Elephas maximus indicus: one gene and its partner. The main gene of each other region encodes a partner of the protein of the gene in region 2 in a complex. Links are inferred from orthologs where the notes say so. Each region holds a gene or a part of one and is shown on either strand. Other genes may lie near its edges.

Region 1 (6,860 bases), on a different chromosome or scaffold from region 2:
ATGAGGGAGCAGCCCAGAGAGGGCACAGAGGTTGAGGCTGGCCACACAGCGAATGTGAGTGGAGTGGAGCCAGGACCAGTACCGGATCTCGTGATGCTGAATCCACGGTGCTTTCCATTGTCCCACATCTGTGGGCAATTACAAGTCCCAACTCTTCTTCCCACAGAAACAGCTGCCACCCCCAGAGGAGGGAGGCTGCCTGATAACCATGTTCAAGCAGTAACCACTGTTCTGAAAGGAGGATGCCAAACAGATGGTCCCCTTCCCCATTCAAGACCAAGCCAGGGCCTGGGCAGACCTTGAAGCCAATCAGGCCTGAGGTTAAACTTTCTGTGGGGGAAGATGCTGACGCCAGGGTCCAGCCCTTGGAGAGAATGGGAACTCTCCCCCTTCTGACCAGCGGCTCCCTGGTAGGGTGGGGGTTAAGACTTTGTATTCGGGCAGACTATGGCTCAAATACCAACTCTACTAGCTGTGTGACCCTGGGCAAGTCACTTTAGCCCCTCTAAGCCTCAGTTTCCTCATCTGTAAAATAGGAGTACTCCCAATACTGATGTCAAAGAGCCGCTGAGTATTACAAAGTGTGTGAGGTACCAGCCTCTGTGCCCGGCATGGGGCAAAGGCTCTATGATGGTGATCAGTGCAGTGGTCACATCCATGAATGCTATGGGTCAGGGTGCTCCTATTGGAGGCAGGAGAGGCCTGCCTGACCTCTGCAGTTCTCACTGGAGACCTGTGTGCTCAGGGATCACAGAAGTAGGCAGGGACTCCCCCACACCCCCACCCCCCACCCCCATTTGAAATAGGGAAATGTGATCTAGAGGAGCCCTTGATGGCCTGGAAGGGCATGTGAAGGAAAGCAGGAGGCTTGAGTTCTGGCCAGTTTCTCCTCCTTTTCACCAGCACATTTTCTCAACCCTACTGCCTGCCCAGGGCTGGGCAGTGGGGACAGAACATAGATGAGGAGGCCTGGGGCCTGAACACTCTCTGTCATGTGGATGGACAGAACACAAACAGGAAGAGAAGGCCAAGCAACAAGGTCCCAGCATGTAGTGCGCAGCAGTGGCCTGGGAGCTCAGAGGAGGGAGCAAGCTCTGAGGACTGGAAGGGCCCAGGAAGGCTGCCTGGAGGAGGCAGGACTAGGGAGGATCCTTGAAGGAAAAGTGGAGGTGATAAGGAAAGACATTTCAGGCAGGAGAATGGGGAAGGCAAAGGCTCACAGGCAGGATCATGCAAATTCCTTCTGGGATGTCTGAGATTTGACTGAAGGAACAAAAGGCCCAAGTTTGCAGTAACGGGGGTGGAGGGTCAGTACCTTTCCAAGGTCTGCCACTTACTAGCTGTGTGGCTGTAGTTATGTGGCTACCATGAGCCTCAGTTTCCCTGTGGGTAAAGGGAAGGGAAAAGCAGTCCCTGCTTCTGGGTCTGCTGGTTACCGTTAAATGAGATCACTCTCATAAAGCACTCAGCACAGTGCCTGGCGTGCAGTAAGTGTCAATCAGTGGCAGCCGTTGTTAGAAGCCGGGGTTTTCTACAGGTACTGAGGAGCCACAGAAAGATTTTGAGCAGGAAGGTCGCCTCACCAGATTTATATTTTAGAATGGAATGGAAAAGAAGCCAAGCCCTGAAACGGGGAGACAGCAAGGAGGCCCGAGCAGTCACTTGGGACCCAAGGAAAGAGTCCAGCTGGCTAACCCCCTCTTTACAGGAGGCCCCCAGATCTGACAGCCTGGTCCCAGACCCTCAGCCCCAGCTGCAAGACTGCTAGGTTGAGCCTGCCCCCAGCCACGGTCCCCGGTCCCCTTCATTCTCGAACTTTCCCAGTCACTGGGGGTTTGGAAGGACATGTTAGGAATCTGGAAAATTTGCAAATCCATTTAAATCCCCAGAGGTTGCCTGGTGGCTGACTGGCCTAGAGCCAAGGCTTAGGCCTGGGGGCAGGGGCAGTGGCCCTGAGGTCCCTAGTCCCCTGCTAGGTCCCCTTTCCATGTACCCTACATGCCATCCCCCAGTTCCACTTTCTCGCCCCTCCCAGCTCTCCCCACCTCTTGTAGACACCATTGTGCTTTGAAGGCCCCCACTTGGCACCAAGAAACCTCTGGGGTTTGTTTAACTGGGGAAGGGCAGCACAGTTGGGAAGGCAGGGACCACCCCCCTCCAGAAGCGGCCTGAGCAGAGGAAAGGAGAAAAACAGCTCCTCCAGCCCTGACATTGTCTTCCGCCTCCAGGCCTCCTCCCATATGGTTTTGTTAAAAATAGTTTTCATTTTTTTGAGGCTCAGGCTGGGACAAGGGGACAGGGCAAGGGGCTAGGGTCCTCCCTCTCCCGGCACTTACCTTGCTGCGGTGTCTTCTAATGTTAGCACAGTCCCAGGCTCTGGGCTGCCACCCCCTCCAGGAAGTCCTCCTCACTGCCCTCTCCCAGTTATCTGGAGACTTTGCTGGACTCCAGACTGCCAGTGGCTGGGTAGGGGGGCAAGAAGGGTGGCTGTAGACCAGAGCCTCGGGGAACAAGAGAGTGGGGGGCTGCAGCGGTAAAGAGCAGCCCAGCTTCGCCTCACTCCCAAAGCATCCTTCCGTAGGAGTCAAGCTGCCAGGAGGGGCCGCCCTGGGTCTGGCTGGCTGGGTCGCAGGGCACGGGCTTCAGTTCCGCGGCTGCTCTGAGGGGCCAGGCTTCCTCTTCCTCGGCGTCCTCCTCCTCTCTGAGCTGCTCACGGAGCGATCCCGGATCCCAGACAGGGCGGGTAGGGACTGCTGGGCGGCTGGCAGCCCCAGGAGCTCACACCACCGTGGGCTTCCCTGCTTCCACCGCCCCCTCCACTTTGGGGGAAAGGCCGCAAGACGGCTTCTGATTGGCCTAGCTGGGAGAAGGGGGGCGGCAGAGCAGGGAGGGTGGACGCGTGCGTCTGTTTTCAATTTCACTTTTTTCCCCCCTCTCTTTCTTTTCCCCAAGTTTCTTGTTTTTCTTCCTCTTTTCCTTCTTCTTACTCCCTCCCGTCTCCCGCTCTCTCAGGACGTGAGGGGATGTTTAGAAATTCCGAAGCCCACGCCAGCCAGTCGCTGAGTCACTTTTATTAAAAAGTGGCCCGTCCCCATTTGATGTTTGTCACCAGTGGCCTCTCCTTGCCATGGCACCTGGGGGGGCGGCTCTTCTGTGCCTCAGTTTCCCCATCTGTAAAGGGAGCTCTGATAATCTCTATGATTGATTCAGTCAACATTCATTCATTGAACAAGCATTACTGAGCATCGACTATGTGCTAGGCACTGTGCTAGGCTCCAGGGTGCGGTGGTAAGACACAGTCCCTGACCTCAGGGAAGCTCAGACTAGTGGGAGTGACGGACAATGTGCAAACAGGTACCCCACGGGAGGACAGGGAGCTGGGATGCATTTTAGAGGGCACCTAACTGATGATTGAGGAAATTAGAGAAGAGATGAAAAGACTCTCCAGGGTTATTTGTTACTTTCAGAAGGAGAAGCTAAGGCCCAGGCATGGCTTGGCACAGAGAGGGAAAGCAGTTTGCCCAAGGTCACCCAGCACACTCCAGATTTCCAGACATGTTTCTTTCTATCATCTCAGAGCCCCTGGGGTACCAGGGAAGGATTATTTGCCCCTTTTGTAGGTGAGGAAACTGAGGCCCAGAGGAGAGAAATGAGTTGCCCAAGCTCACACAGCAATGGCAGAGCTGGAGCAGAGTTGGGTTTCATAAGTTACATGATCAAAGTTTCACAGGTCATCTGACTCTGACCCAACACCCATATTCCAGTGTAGACCAGCCCTCCTGCCCTGCCTTCTTCCTAGGTTACCTCTTTCCTTGTCTCTATTTATTCAGTCACTCAACAAGTATTTTTGAGTAGCTGGTATGTTCCATTCTCCTGCCTTCCTTCCTCACCAGGGTCTGCTCCTGGTCTCCACATTGGGCTTTTCATCCCCCACACTCATCTTCCATATTTACCTCCTCAGCTCAGAAGATGGCAGACTCCTAGCCCTTCGATGCCAAGGGGCATTATTTGAAAAGGGCTTAGAGTTAAGCTAAGCCAACCTGTGCCTCCACTACTATACACGTGGGGGACCTGAGGACCAGAGAGAGGAAGAAATGTGTCCCAGGTCCACAGGTACAGCCTGCCTATGCCCAGAGCAACTTCCACTATGTACTCTGTACTTTTGTCTACCCCCTTCTCCTCCCCACCCCCACCCCAGATCACTGTTCATGGACAGGGAAGTTGCTTGAGCTGGAATTCCAGGCCAACTGCAGTAATCTATCTTGAAACCATTTCTTGGTCTTGTTGCAAAAGGGATTCCCCAGTTGGGCATCTGGGCTGGGCTGCATAGAGGAAGAAGGATCCACAGACTGGCCCAGGCACATGACGGGGACTGTGAAAATGTCCCAAGAGAGAGAGCCTGGAGCAGGGCTTGGTGGCAGCAGATTCATGTGAGAGAACCCCAGAGGCCACAGGGTCAGGCATCATAGGGACTGCTTGTGCCCAAAGACTTCACCAGGAATTTACAGCTCCACTCCTAGCATTTGCTGGCCATGCGCCTCTGAAAATTTGGCCCAACTGCTGGGGCCAGGAGAGCTCAGAGGGAGCAATGGAGCAATGGAGCTTTTCGACTCCCTTCTTCCCAGAAAAGCTGGTCTGGAATCAGGATACCTAGTCTCAGACCTATTGAGTGACCTTGGTTAGGTCCCTTGGCCTCCCTGAGCCTCAGTTTCTCGATCTGTACCTAACAAGGGTGGACTCACTGTGCTGGAAGGCCCTTAGGATGGTCTGTCTGCAGTTCCCCTTAGAGCTGGACCCTGGCTAAATAGAGGAGGCTGGGGGGCCCCAGGGCAGGGGGACAGCTGGGGGCCAGCGATGCAGTACAGAGGGGAGGGGGCGGCTGGTGGTGGCTCCCCAGGGACACTGGCGGCAGCCAGTTTCCGGCCAGCGCAGCCATCCGGCTGGCCCATCTGGAAGCACTTAGCCCCTACCACCATTAACCCTTGGTGGGCACCAGGCTGTCATGGCTCCTCTCAGCTGAGATAGGGGTGGGTACTGAGCCACAGAGAGCACCACAGGGCACTCACTGAGGGCTGGACAGTTGGGACAAAAGGGTGGAGATTGACAGGGAAAGTTCTAGAGCCAGAGGCAGAAAAAAAGGCAGAGCTGCGTTCAAATCCCAGGTTCTCCACTTCTAAGTTGCATGACTTTGGACAAGTCACTTAAACTCCTGTACATTTGTTTCCTCTTTTGGAGAATGGGGATGGATAATAAGAGGGCTAACTCGTGAAATTATTGTGAATTTGTAATGTATGTAAAGGGCTTAGTACAGTGCCTAGAATGTAATCGAAATAGTGAGTTCCCCTCATTCAAGCTGCGTCCCATCACTGTGTGCTCTGGGCAGAGCCCTTCCTCCTTTGGGCCTCAGTTTCTCCTTGTGCACTCTGAGGGGCTGGGTGGGTGTCATGTGGGCAACGCAACACTGACATGCTGAGGTGTTCACCATGAACAGCATGTCACGAGCATTCTCCCACCCGTCCAAATGCTGGGCGCCCAGTCCTCCCCTGCTCATGGCCTCGGGCCATCCTGGGCTCAAAGTGGGTGGGCAGAACATGGACCTTGGAGAGCCCTGCCTGAGGTGGACTGGAAGGGGGTGCAGAGGGAGAGAAGAGCTCTGGGCCTTCGGGTTCACTACCACCTCCCCAAAGAACTAGTGGTACTGCTCAAGGGTTAAGAGCCTGGGCTCTGGGGTTGGCAGTTTCAAGCCAGCTTTGCCACTTCCTAGCTGTGTGACCCTGGACAAAGTATATTATCTGAGCTCTCTGAGCCTCAGTTTCTTCAACTGTAAAAAGGGATAAATGTGCCCACTTCAAGGGGTGGTTGAGAAGCCTGAAAAAATGGTTCACAGAAGGTGTTTTGTGCAGGGAGCAGAGCAGAGTAAGAAAGCTCCACCCGAGACCACTAGTTGTCAGGGGTCACCAGGAGCTGCTGTCTCACAAGTCCACAGTCAGGGCTGGAGGAAGCTCTCCAACCCGCTCATTTTACAGCCCAGGTGACTGAGGCCCAAGGATGGAAAGCTACTTGGGCAAGGCTTTCCGGTGTGTCCCCGGCAGCACTGGGACTGGAAGCAAGGCTTTTGTCTAGACTCTCGGCCCCCTGATCTTCCCTAAAGGAGGGAACCAGGCTCAACTGACTCCTCTCCTAAGACCCTCACCCACGCTTGTTTGAGCCGGAAGCCGTAGTGCTCAGTGGGGTGGAGGGAGAAGGAGGGGGGTGCCCGGAAAGGGAGCCTGAGTGGGAGAATTCCCAGTAGGCCAGCTCAGCACTCACTCAGGCAGGGCCAGCGGCCACCACATCTGGCTCTCCCACGCTCCCAGCTGTTGGCCCCTCCCCAGGCTCCCCCATCAGGAGGTGAGGAAGCAGCACACACATCCCAGGCATCGAAGCAATCATTTTGGATGTCAGGGCCAGAGGGGCCCTAAGAATGTGTCTATTGTACAAGCATGGAAACTGAGGCCCTAAGAGTGGAGGGGACTTGTCTGAGATTAGTGGAGAAACAGAGGCCTGGAATGCAGGACTTCTGACCCTCACCTCACTACCTTTTCACCAATTCACCCCTCGTCCAGGTAGATGCTTGTATCTACAGTCAGGGGGCCAGAAGAGGCACAGGGAGGGAACTGCTTTCCCACCTCTCACCCACCTCTGTCCTCTTCTCAGTGCCCAGTGACCATAGGGAACTGGAGTGTGGCCTTTTGGTGCACACAAATGGCTCAAGGATTATAAGAACAGTAGAACCCACTGGACGCACTGGGTCCTAACATCCAGAGAGGGTCAGAACCTGCTTGAGGACACACAGCAAGTTTAGGATGGGGCCTCTGACT
Region 2 (7,810 bases):
TTTTTGGGTTTTGAAGACACCAAGGAGCCCTAGTGGAGCAGTGGTTAAAGCGATTGACTGCTAACCAAAAGGTCAGCAGTTTGACACCAGTGGCAGCTCCTAGAGAGAAAAATATGGCAGTTGACCTCCATAGAGATTTACTTTACACCCTTGGAAACCCTATGAGGTCACTATGAGTTGGAATTGACTTGACAGCAGTAGGGTTTTTTCTTTTTTTTTTTTTTTTGGTTTTGGAGACACTCATTTTTAACCTCATCACAACCTCCACGTGAGGTAGGAATTTTAGATGAAAGAACTTAGGCTCTATTAGTATAAACGAATTAATTACCCAAGGTCACCATCTAGTTACCTTGGTTCATATCTCTTTGTGGCACAGAAAGACAGAAAACCACGAGACAGTTGTGCTGCAGAAAGGGCATTGTCCTTGTAGCCCAGAGGCCACTTTGTGTATGACCCCAGGGCAAGCCCCTGCACATCAGTTTTCTTATAAAATGGGGATGATATTGATAATATTGATAATACTTCCCTGAGTGTTAATACTAAGGCCAACCTAGTGATTCACTCACTTGCTGAGTCAATGATTTCCCCATAAGGAAGTTCATGGAAGCATTATTTTTAGTGGCAAAAAAAAAAAAAAACCCAAAATGGAAATAATTTGAATGTCCATCAACACAGCACTAGTTGACTAAGTAGCACGCATCCATATGATGGAATGTTTTGCAGCACTGGAAATGAATGAACTGTTCAGTATGGTAGCTTCTAGCCAGATGTGGCTACTGATCACTTCAAATGTACATAATTTAACTTAAGATATTCTGTAAGTGTAAAATACACACTTGTTTTGAAGTTTTAGTAAGAAGAAGCGAATGTAAAATATCTCATTAAGAACGTTTCATATTCATGAAAGGAGAGACTGGAAGGAGGAAGCGGGCTGACTCATTAGGGGGAGAGTAAATGGGAGTATGTGGTAAGGTGTATATAAGCTTATATGTGAGAGACTGACTTGATTTGTAAACTTTCACTTAAAGCACAATAAAAAGTATTTTAAAAAAAAAGAATGTTTCATATTGATTACATGTTGAATGATAATATTTTGGTGTATTGGTGTTATGGATTGAATTGTGTTCCCCAAAATTTGTATTGTAAATCCTAACCTCTTTGTTTCTGGTGGCACAGTGGTTGAGAGCTTGGCTGCTAGCCAAAAGGTCAGCAGTTCAAATCCACCAGTTACTCCTTGGAAACCCTGTGGGCCAATTCTACTCTGTTCTATAGGGTTGCTATGAGTTGGAATCCACTGACTGACAATGGGTTTGTTTTGCTTTGTTTTTATGCTTGTAGTTATAATTCTATTTGGCAATGGGTTTTCTTTGTTATGTTAAGAGGCCATATCAGTGTAGGGTGTGTTTTAAGCCAATTACTTTTGAGATATAAAAACAACAGATTAGTACAGAGAAGCAAAGAGATATAGGAGAAGACAGACACCATGCCAAATAAAGATCAGGAAGGAGCAAAGGAATAGAAGCCGAAGAGGCAAGGACCTTCTCTCAGTGCTGACAGAGACAGAAAGCCTTCCCCTAGAGCCAGTGCCCTAACTTGGGGCCTCTGCTTCCAAAATTGTGAGAAAATAAATTTCTGTTCATTAAAGCCACTCACTTGTGTTATTTTTGTTATAGTAGCACTAGATAACTAAAACAATTGGGTTAAATAAAACATATTATTCAAATTAATTCCACTTGTTTAAGTGTGACTAATAGGAACTTTTTTGAGTTGGAATTGACGGCAGTGGGTTTGTTTTTTTAATAGGAACTTTATAATTATGTATGTGGCCCACATTATATTTGTATTGGAAAACCATTGCTAATCTAGAGGGATGTCCGTTGTGTATTACATAAATCACACAAACATCTAATGAACTCAGTTTAAAAAATAAAATAGAAAAAAACTCTATGTTGTGTATGTGAGTGAATGTGGGTGTGGAATGTGTGTGTCGATATAGGCATAGTGAAAAGTGTGAAAGGATATACACCAAGCCTTTAATGTTGATGAGGGTTGAAGAAGATAGAATGTACACTGAGGAGCAGGGCCAATTACTGTTTCTTTGGCTTGTTGCAAGGACTTTGCATTGCCTTTCCAACTGAGAGAGAAATTCAAATAAAGCATCTCTAAATAAGTAATAAGTAAATTTTAAGCTTGTTGTATACCAGGTACTGTGCCAGGCTCTGAGGTTATAAAGACGAAGAAGACAATGACTTTGTCTAAAAAGCTCATAATATGGGGGAAGACAGAGAAGCATCGATCAACAATGACTTTGAAGTATGTTAGGTGCTGACAGAGGCACAAACAGGCTGCCCCAAGTGCATAGGAAGGGGGTGTCCATTTTATCTTCAGTTAGTGGTCAAGGGGTGAGTGCAGAGAATGTTTCCTGGAGGGGCTGCATGAATGTTTCCTGGAGGGGCTGCATGAGGTGGAGCTAAACCTTCCATGACACTTAGTTCTCCAGATGTGGAAGAGTTCAAAGGGTATTCCAGGCAAAAGGAAGTCAATTTTCGAAAGCCGGGAAGTAAGAAACAGCAACAAGCCTTTAGGAATAGCTAGAATATGTGAGGGGGTGGGAGCAAATGAGGCTGAACAGGTAGGCACAGGCCGTACAGTGATGAGTTTTAGGTGCTAATGGAAGGATTTTAATTTACTGCTAAAAGCTTTGATCTCACTCATAGACCAGTGGAATGACATGACTAGATTTGCATCATAGAAAGATCACTGTAGCAGCAGAGTGTACAGAATTATAGGAATGATTAGGGAGGCACAGTTTCTGCACTCAAGGAACTTACAGTCTACTTGGGAAAAGAGACAAATGATAATTGGCATTTATCAAATTCTTACTTGGCCAGTCACTGTTCTAAGCACTTCACAAATATTAACCCTCTTAATCCCCATTTTTGATCCCCATTTCACAGAGAAGGAAGCTGAGACACAGAGGAGTCAAGTGACTTGGTTACGGACTTGCAGGCAGGCAGGCAGGCAGGCTGGGTTTTGGAGGTCAAGAACTTCATTTCCATATGATACTTCCTCTTAGATTTATAATGGAGCATGTTTGGTTCTAAGCTAGGATAGGAGCCTTGGGGGGCTATCTAATCTGGACTAGAAGAATCAGCCATGGCTTCCTATTACAGAGGAGGTGACTTCTACTTTGAGGTTTGAAGCCTAAACTAGAATTCATGGTGGGGGGTGGGCAGGAAGAAACTTCCAGGGAGACAGAGATTGTTTAAAGACCTTGATCTAGGAAAAAGCACGGCATATTGAGGAGAACCAAAAGTCACTCCATACAGCTGGGCCATGAAGAATGGAGGCAAGTGGTGGAGAGCAAAGGAGCTGATGATGTGGGCAGGGGCCAGACCAGGCTGGAGTCTTGTACACCATGTTAAATGTTTTTGGATTTCATCCTAAAAGCAATGAGAAACCACTGAAGCATTCAAGGCAGGGAATGAGTAGTTTTGCATTTTAGATCACTCTGACTGTTACGTGGAGAATGGATTGGAACTGGGTAAACCTATAGGTCTAAGATCAGTTAGGATGCTGTTCGAGTGATCTAGGTGAGATGTAATTTAGGTGGCCAGAATTTAGGATGATGGAGAGAAACAGGGCTGGGCAACTGCTTGTTGAACAGCTACTACCTAAATGAAATCAACATATATTGAAGACAATTTTTGCAAGGAGCAGAACAATGTCAAAGCAGTTATCACCTTCTATGAGAGTTCTTTGCATAGGAGTGAGAAGGGAAGCAATGGGACAAAAATGAGGATTTTGGAGCTATGTGGATGTTGGCTGAAATCCTAGCTCTGCTACTTACTAGCTGTATTGCCTTAAGTCAATATATGTTTAATCATAATGATAATAACAGGTAACAATTATAACCACAGCAATTAAAAAAACTAAATTCACTGCCGTCAAGCCTATCTCGACTCATAGCCACCCTACAGGACAGAGTAGAACTACCCCGTAGGGTTTCCAAGGCTGTAAATCTGACAGAAACAGACTGCCACCTTTTCCTCCCGTGGAGCAGCTGACTGGTTCGATCTACCAACCTTCTGGTTAGCAGCCGAACGCTTTAACCACCGTGCCACCAGGGCTCCTGTAATAATTGTAAAGCACTTATTAGGTAGGCTGGAGTCCTGGTAGCGCAGTTGTTAAGAGCCTGGCTGCTAATCAGAAGGTTGGCTGTTCCAATCCACAGCCACTCCTTGGAAACCTATGGGGCAGTTCCACTCTCTCCTACAGGGTCCCTGAGTCGGAGTGGACTCGACGGCAACGAGTTTTTTGGACTATATAAAAAAAAAAAAAAAAAAAAAAATTTTTTTTTTTTTATAGGACAGGCCCAGTCTAAGCACGTTATATATTTAATCTTCACAGTAACCCTAAGAAGAAAATGTATTTTACAATGAGGAAACTGAAGGACAGAAAAATTAAGAAACTTTCTCTAGATTACAAAGCCAGTAAGTGGAGTAGCGATTTGTGGAATAAAATGAATGAATTTCGATTTCGCAGTGAGCGCAGGGATGGAAATTGACACAGTAGGAGAGGATGTGATAGGTCCGAGGGAGTGTGTACAACAGCAAACGCGCAGCTCAAGCACAGATTTAAAGGAGAGAGCGAGGGCGCTTTGGGAACTACGCAGCAGCGTATACCAGAAGCAAGCAAGCGGCCATTAACGATCACCTCTCATTCCCCCACAGACTGGAAGCAGGAAGTGGCGGCGGGCGTCGCGCGGGGTGACGTCACGGTGGCGCCGGCAGGGAAGGGCGGGGGAGGAGGAGGAGCGAGCCGGGCTGGAAGGGGGGGTGGCTGCACAGTCTCCGGGATCCCCAGGCCTGGAGGGGGGTCTGCGCGAGGCCGGCTGGCTCTGCCCCCCGTCCGGTCCCGAGCGGGGCCTCCCTCGGGCCAGCCTGATGTGACCCGGCCCAGCGGAGCCTGAGCAAGGAGCGGGTCCGTCGCGGAGCCGGAGGGCGGGAGGAACATGACATCGCGGAGGTGAGGAGCCCCGGGGGCCCCGGCTCTGGCCTCCGCCGGGCCCCCGCCTCGGTCGCCCTGCCCCACCCGGGAGGGGGCGCCGCCGTCGGGCCCCCCCCCGGGTGGGCGGGCAGGTTACCTCTTAACCCCCTCGATCTCCCGGGACCGGGGGCCTGGTCCTTCCGCGCCCCCACCCCTCGGGTCCCCATTCATTTCCTGCCTCCCGGAGTTCCGGCTCGCGCAGCCCGGGGATGTCGGTCTGGACGAGGGCAGGTAGAACCGCCGGGGGAGTCGCGGACGCCAGCGGCCCGGCTCGGCGCCGCATTCCTGACCCATTGCCTCATGAGAATTGCCTCATGGTGATTCCGAAATAACCCCGCTCACTTGGGGAGGCTCCTCGGCCCGGGACGCGGGAGGGGAATGAAGGGAGTTGCGCAGGATCGGGCCCCTGAGGGTCGAGCCGCTCTGGGTCAACCTGCCTCTCGCGCTCTTCTTGGGACTTCACCCAGAACCCCTATCCCTACGTATCCCTTTGCATCACCATTTCCCCCACTTCTCACGTGCCAGAAATGGAAAAACTGACTGTATCTGCAGCTATTAGAAGTATTTCCTTCCTCTGCGATCTTCTCTTTGGGAGATTGCAAGGGAAGGGAGCTATATCAAGTTATTTAATCCTTTATCATAACCTGAAAAGTCAGGTAACTTTAATCATCCCCATTTTACGGAGGTGGAGACCGAGGCTCATAGGTAAGTGGCAGGATTTGAACCTAAGCCTGTCACAATCCAGGGCCAGAAGGATTAGTGAGATCCATTGAAAGTTGAGGGTGATAACACTATTACTAGCTAACATTTATTTAGCTCTTGCTCTAAGCCTAATACGTTTAATCCTCACAACAACCCTGTGAGGTAGGTACTGTTATCCTGAGTTTCAGATGTTAGGCAACTTGGCTAAGGTCACACAACTAATAATTTGGTGGAGCCATAATCCCTACTGTTAATCACGGGGCTGCTATTATTATAGCTATCGCTAATCATTAAAAAAAAAAAAAAAATCATTATTCAGCCTTAATTCTGTTGTTAAACAGTAGTGTGACCTATTGTCTTCAGGTAGCAGTCCTGGTAGTTTGTACTGGCACTCTATATACCACTGACACATAAAATCCATTGTTTATTCTTCTCCTTGGTTGTCTAGTTATGGTCACTGTCTTAGATGTTTGAAAAACAGTTTCAAGTTGCTGGGGTTATTTGAATGAGAGACTTCTCAAAATATTAGAGATAGCTATTTGAAACACACCTGAACGTCACACATTCATGGACCTGGAAAGAAAGTTGGAGAAAAGAGAAGATGGAACTCTCCTAGGAAGTGGGCAGGTCTGTGGGCAAGAGTTTACAGATCTGGGTCATATATAACTATTTCATCAGAACAGTGTATAGCCTCAAATGGTCTAATTCTTTAGGGATCTTTTAAATAAAACAGTAGTCTATTCTTTTAATCTGTCAAATAGTCATTGAGTCTTTTGTTCTTTGTGTCTGCTCTTCCAGACAAGGAAGGATCTGCTTCTTTAGAAGACAAAAAGACTGGGGGTCTTTCTCTATCTATCCCTAGATGGAGAAAGGGGCCGGGTAGTAATAGACCCTACATTGTCCAACTTGTTAGTTTAGAAGCATAGAAGTATGGGCATAGCTAAATCAGCAAGAGGTAAAGATGACACTTTGAAATAGAGTAATTTCTTCTCCCCTCCAGTCCTGATATTTATTATCCACCTACTGTGGATACAGAGGAAACCCTGGTGGCATAGTGGTTAAGTGCTATAGCTGCTAACCAAGAGGTCGGCAGTTCAAATCCGCCAGGTGCTCCTTGGAAACTCTATCGGGCAGTTCTACTCTGTCCTATAGGGTCGCTATGAGTCAGAATCGACTTGACGGCAGTGGGCTTGGTTTTTGGTTTTTAGGTGGATATAGAAAGGAAATGTGAGCCACCTAAAAATTCGTTTATGAACACAATACACATAACTGGGAATCATTTATTACTGTTTTCTGGATTGTAAGTCTCTTATTTGAGCAGTTTTATTCAAGTATACTTGACATGCAGGAAATTGCACATATTTAAAATATACAGTTTGGTAAGTTTTGACATGTATACACTTGTGAAACCAGCACCATAATCAATATAATGGAAAATATCCATCACCCCTCCTGATATTTCCTGGTGGCCCTAAATAATCCCTCCCTTGTTCTTCAGGCAGCCACTGTTTTGCTTTGTGTCACTGTATGTAAGTTTCAGTTTTTTTTGAATTTTATGTAAGTAGATTTAATATTCTTTTTCTTTTTGGTCTGGTTTCTTACGCTCGGCATAATTATCTTGAGATTCATCCATGCTGTAGTGTGTGTCAGTAGGTCATTCCTTTTTATCGTTCAGCAATATTCCATTGTATGGATGTACCACAGTTTGTTTATCCATTCATCTGTTGATGGGCATTGGGTTGTTGCCAGCTTATGGCTATCACAGACAACCTCTGGACATTGGTATACAAGTCTTTGTAGGGACATATGCTTTCGTTTCTCTTGGGGAAGTAGGAATGGAATGGCTGGATCAGATAGTGGGTGCATATTTAATTTTTTCAGAAATTACCAATCTGTTTTCCAGAGCGATTATACCATTTACGTTCTTACCAGCAGTATATGAAAGTTTCTGTTTCATCCACATCCTTACCAACACGTAGTATTACCTGTTATCCGTTGCCGTCGAGTTGATTCTGACTCATAGCGACCCCATAGGACAGAGTAGAACGGCCCCATAGAG

Evidence for each region.
Region 1: the proteins of PTPN11 (region 2) and PDGFRB are in contact, whole or in part, in a crystal structure (PDB 1AYA), measured with the Mus musculus proteins. The link is inferred for Elephas maximus indicus from reciprocal best matches to the Homo sapiens genes PTPN11 and PDGFRB. Residues at the interface, in NP_001103462.1 of Mus musculus: Gly13, Val14, Glu17, Arg32, Pro33, Ser34, Lys35, Ser36, Thr42, Thr52, His53, Ile54, Lys55, Leu65, Gly68, Gln87, Leu88, Lys89, Glu90, Lys91, Gly93, Ile96; in NP_032835.2 of Mus musculus: Ser1005, Val1006, Leu1007, Tyr1008, Thr1009, Ala1010, Val1011, Gln1012, Pro1013.

Annotation. Positions count from the first base shown.
Region 1 is NC_064820.1:165,347,752-165,354,611, forward strand, and holds the start of PDGFRB (platelet-derived growth factor receptor beta), read right to left. Parts: upstream 3,001-6,860; 5' UTR 2,337-3,000; intron 1-2,336. UniProt on the Homo sapiens protein: Tyrosine-protein kinase that acts as a cell-surface receptor for homodimeric PDGFB and PDGFD and for heterodimers formed by PDGFA and PDGFB, and plays an essential role in the regulation of embryonic development, cell proliferation, survival, differentiation, chemotaxis and migration.
Region 2 is NC_064840.1:10,657,843-10,665,652, forward strand, and holds the start of PTPN11 (tyrosine-protein phosphatase non-receptor type 11), read left to right. Parts: upstream 1-4,810; 5' UTR 4,811-5,014; coding exon 5,015-5,028; intron 5,029-7,810. UniProt on the Homo sapiens protein: Acts downstream of various receptor and cytoplasmic protein tyrosine kinases to participate in the signal transduction from the cell surface to the nucleus. Positively regulates MAPK signal transduction pathway. Dephosphorylates GAB1, ARHGAP35 and EGFR.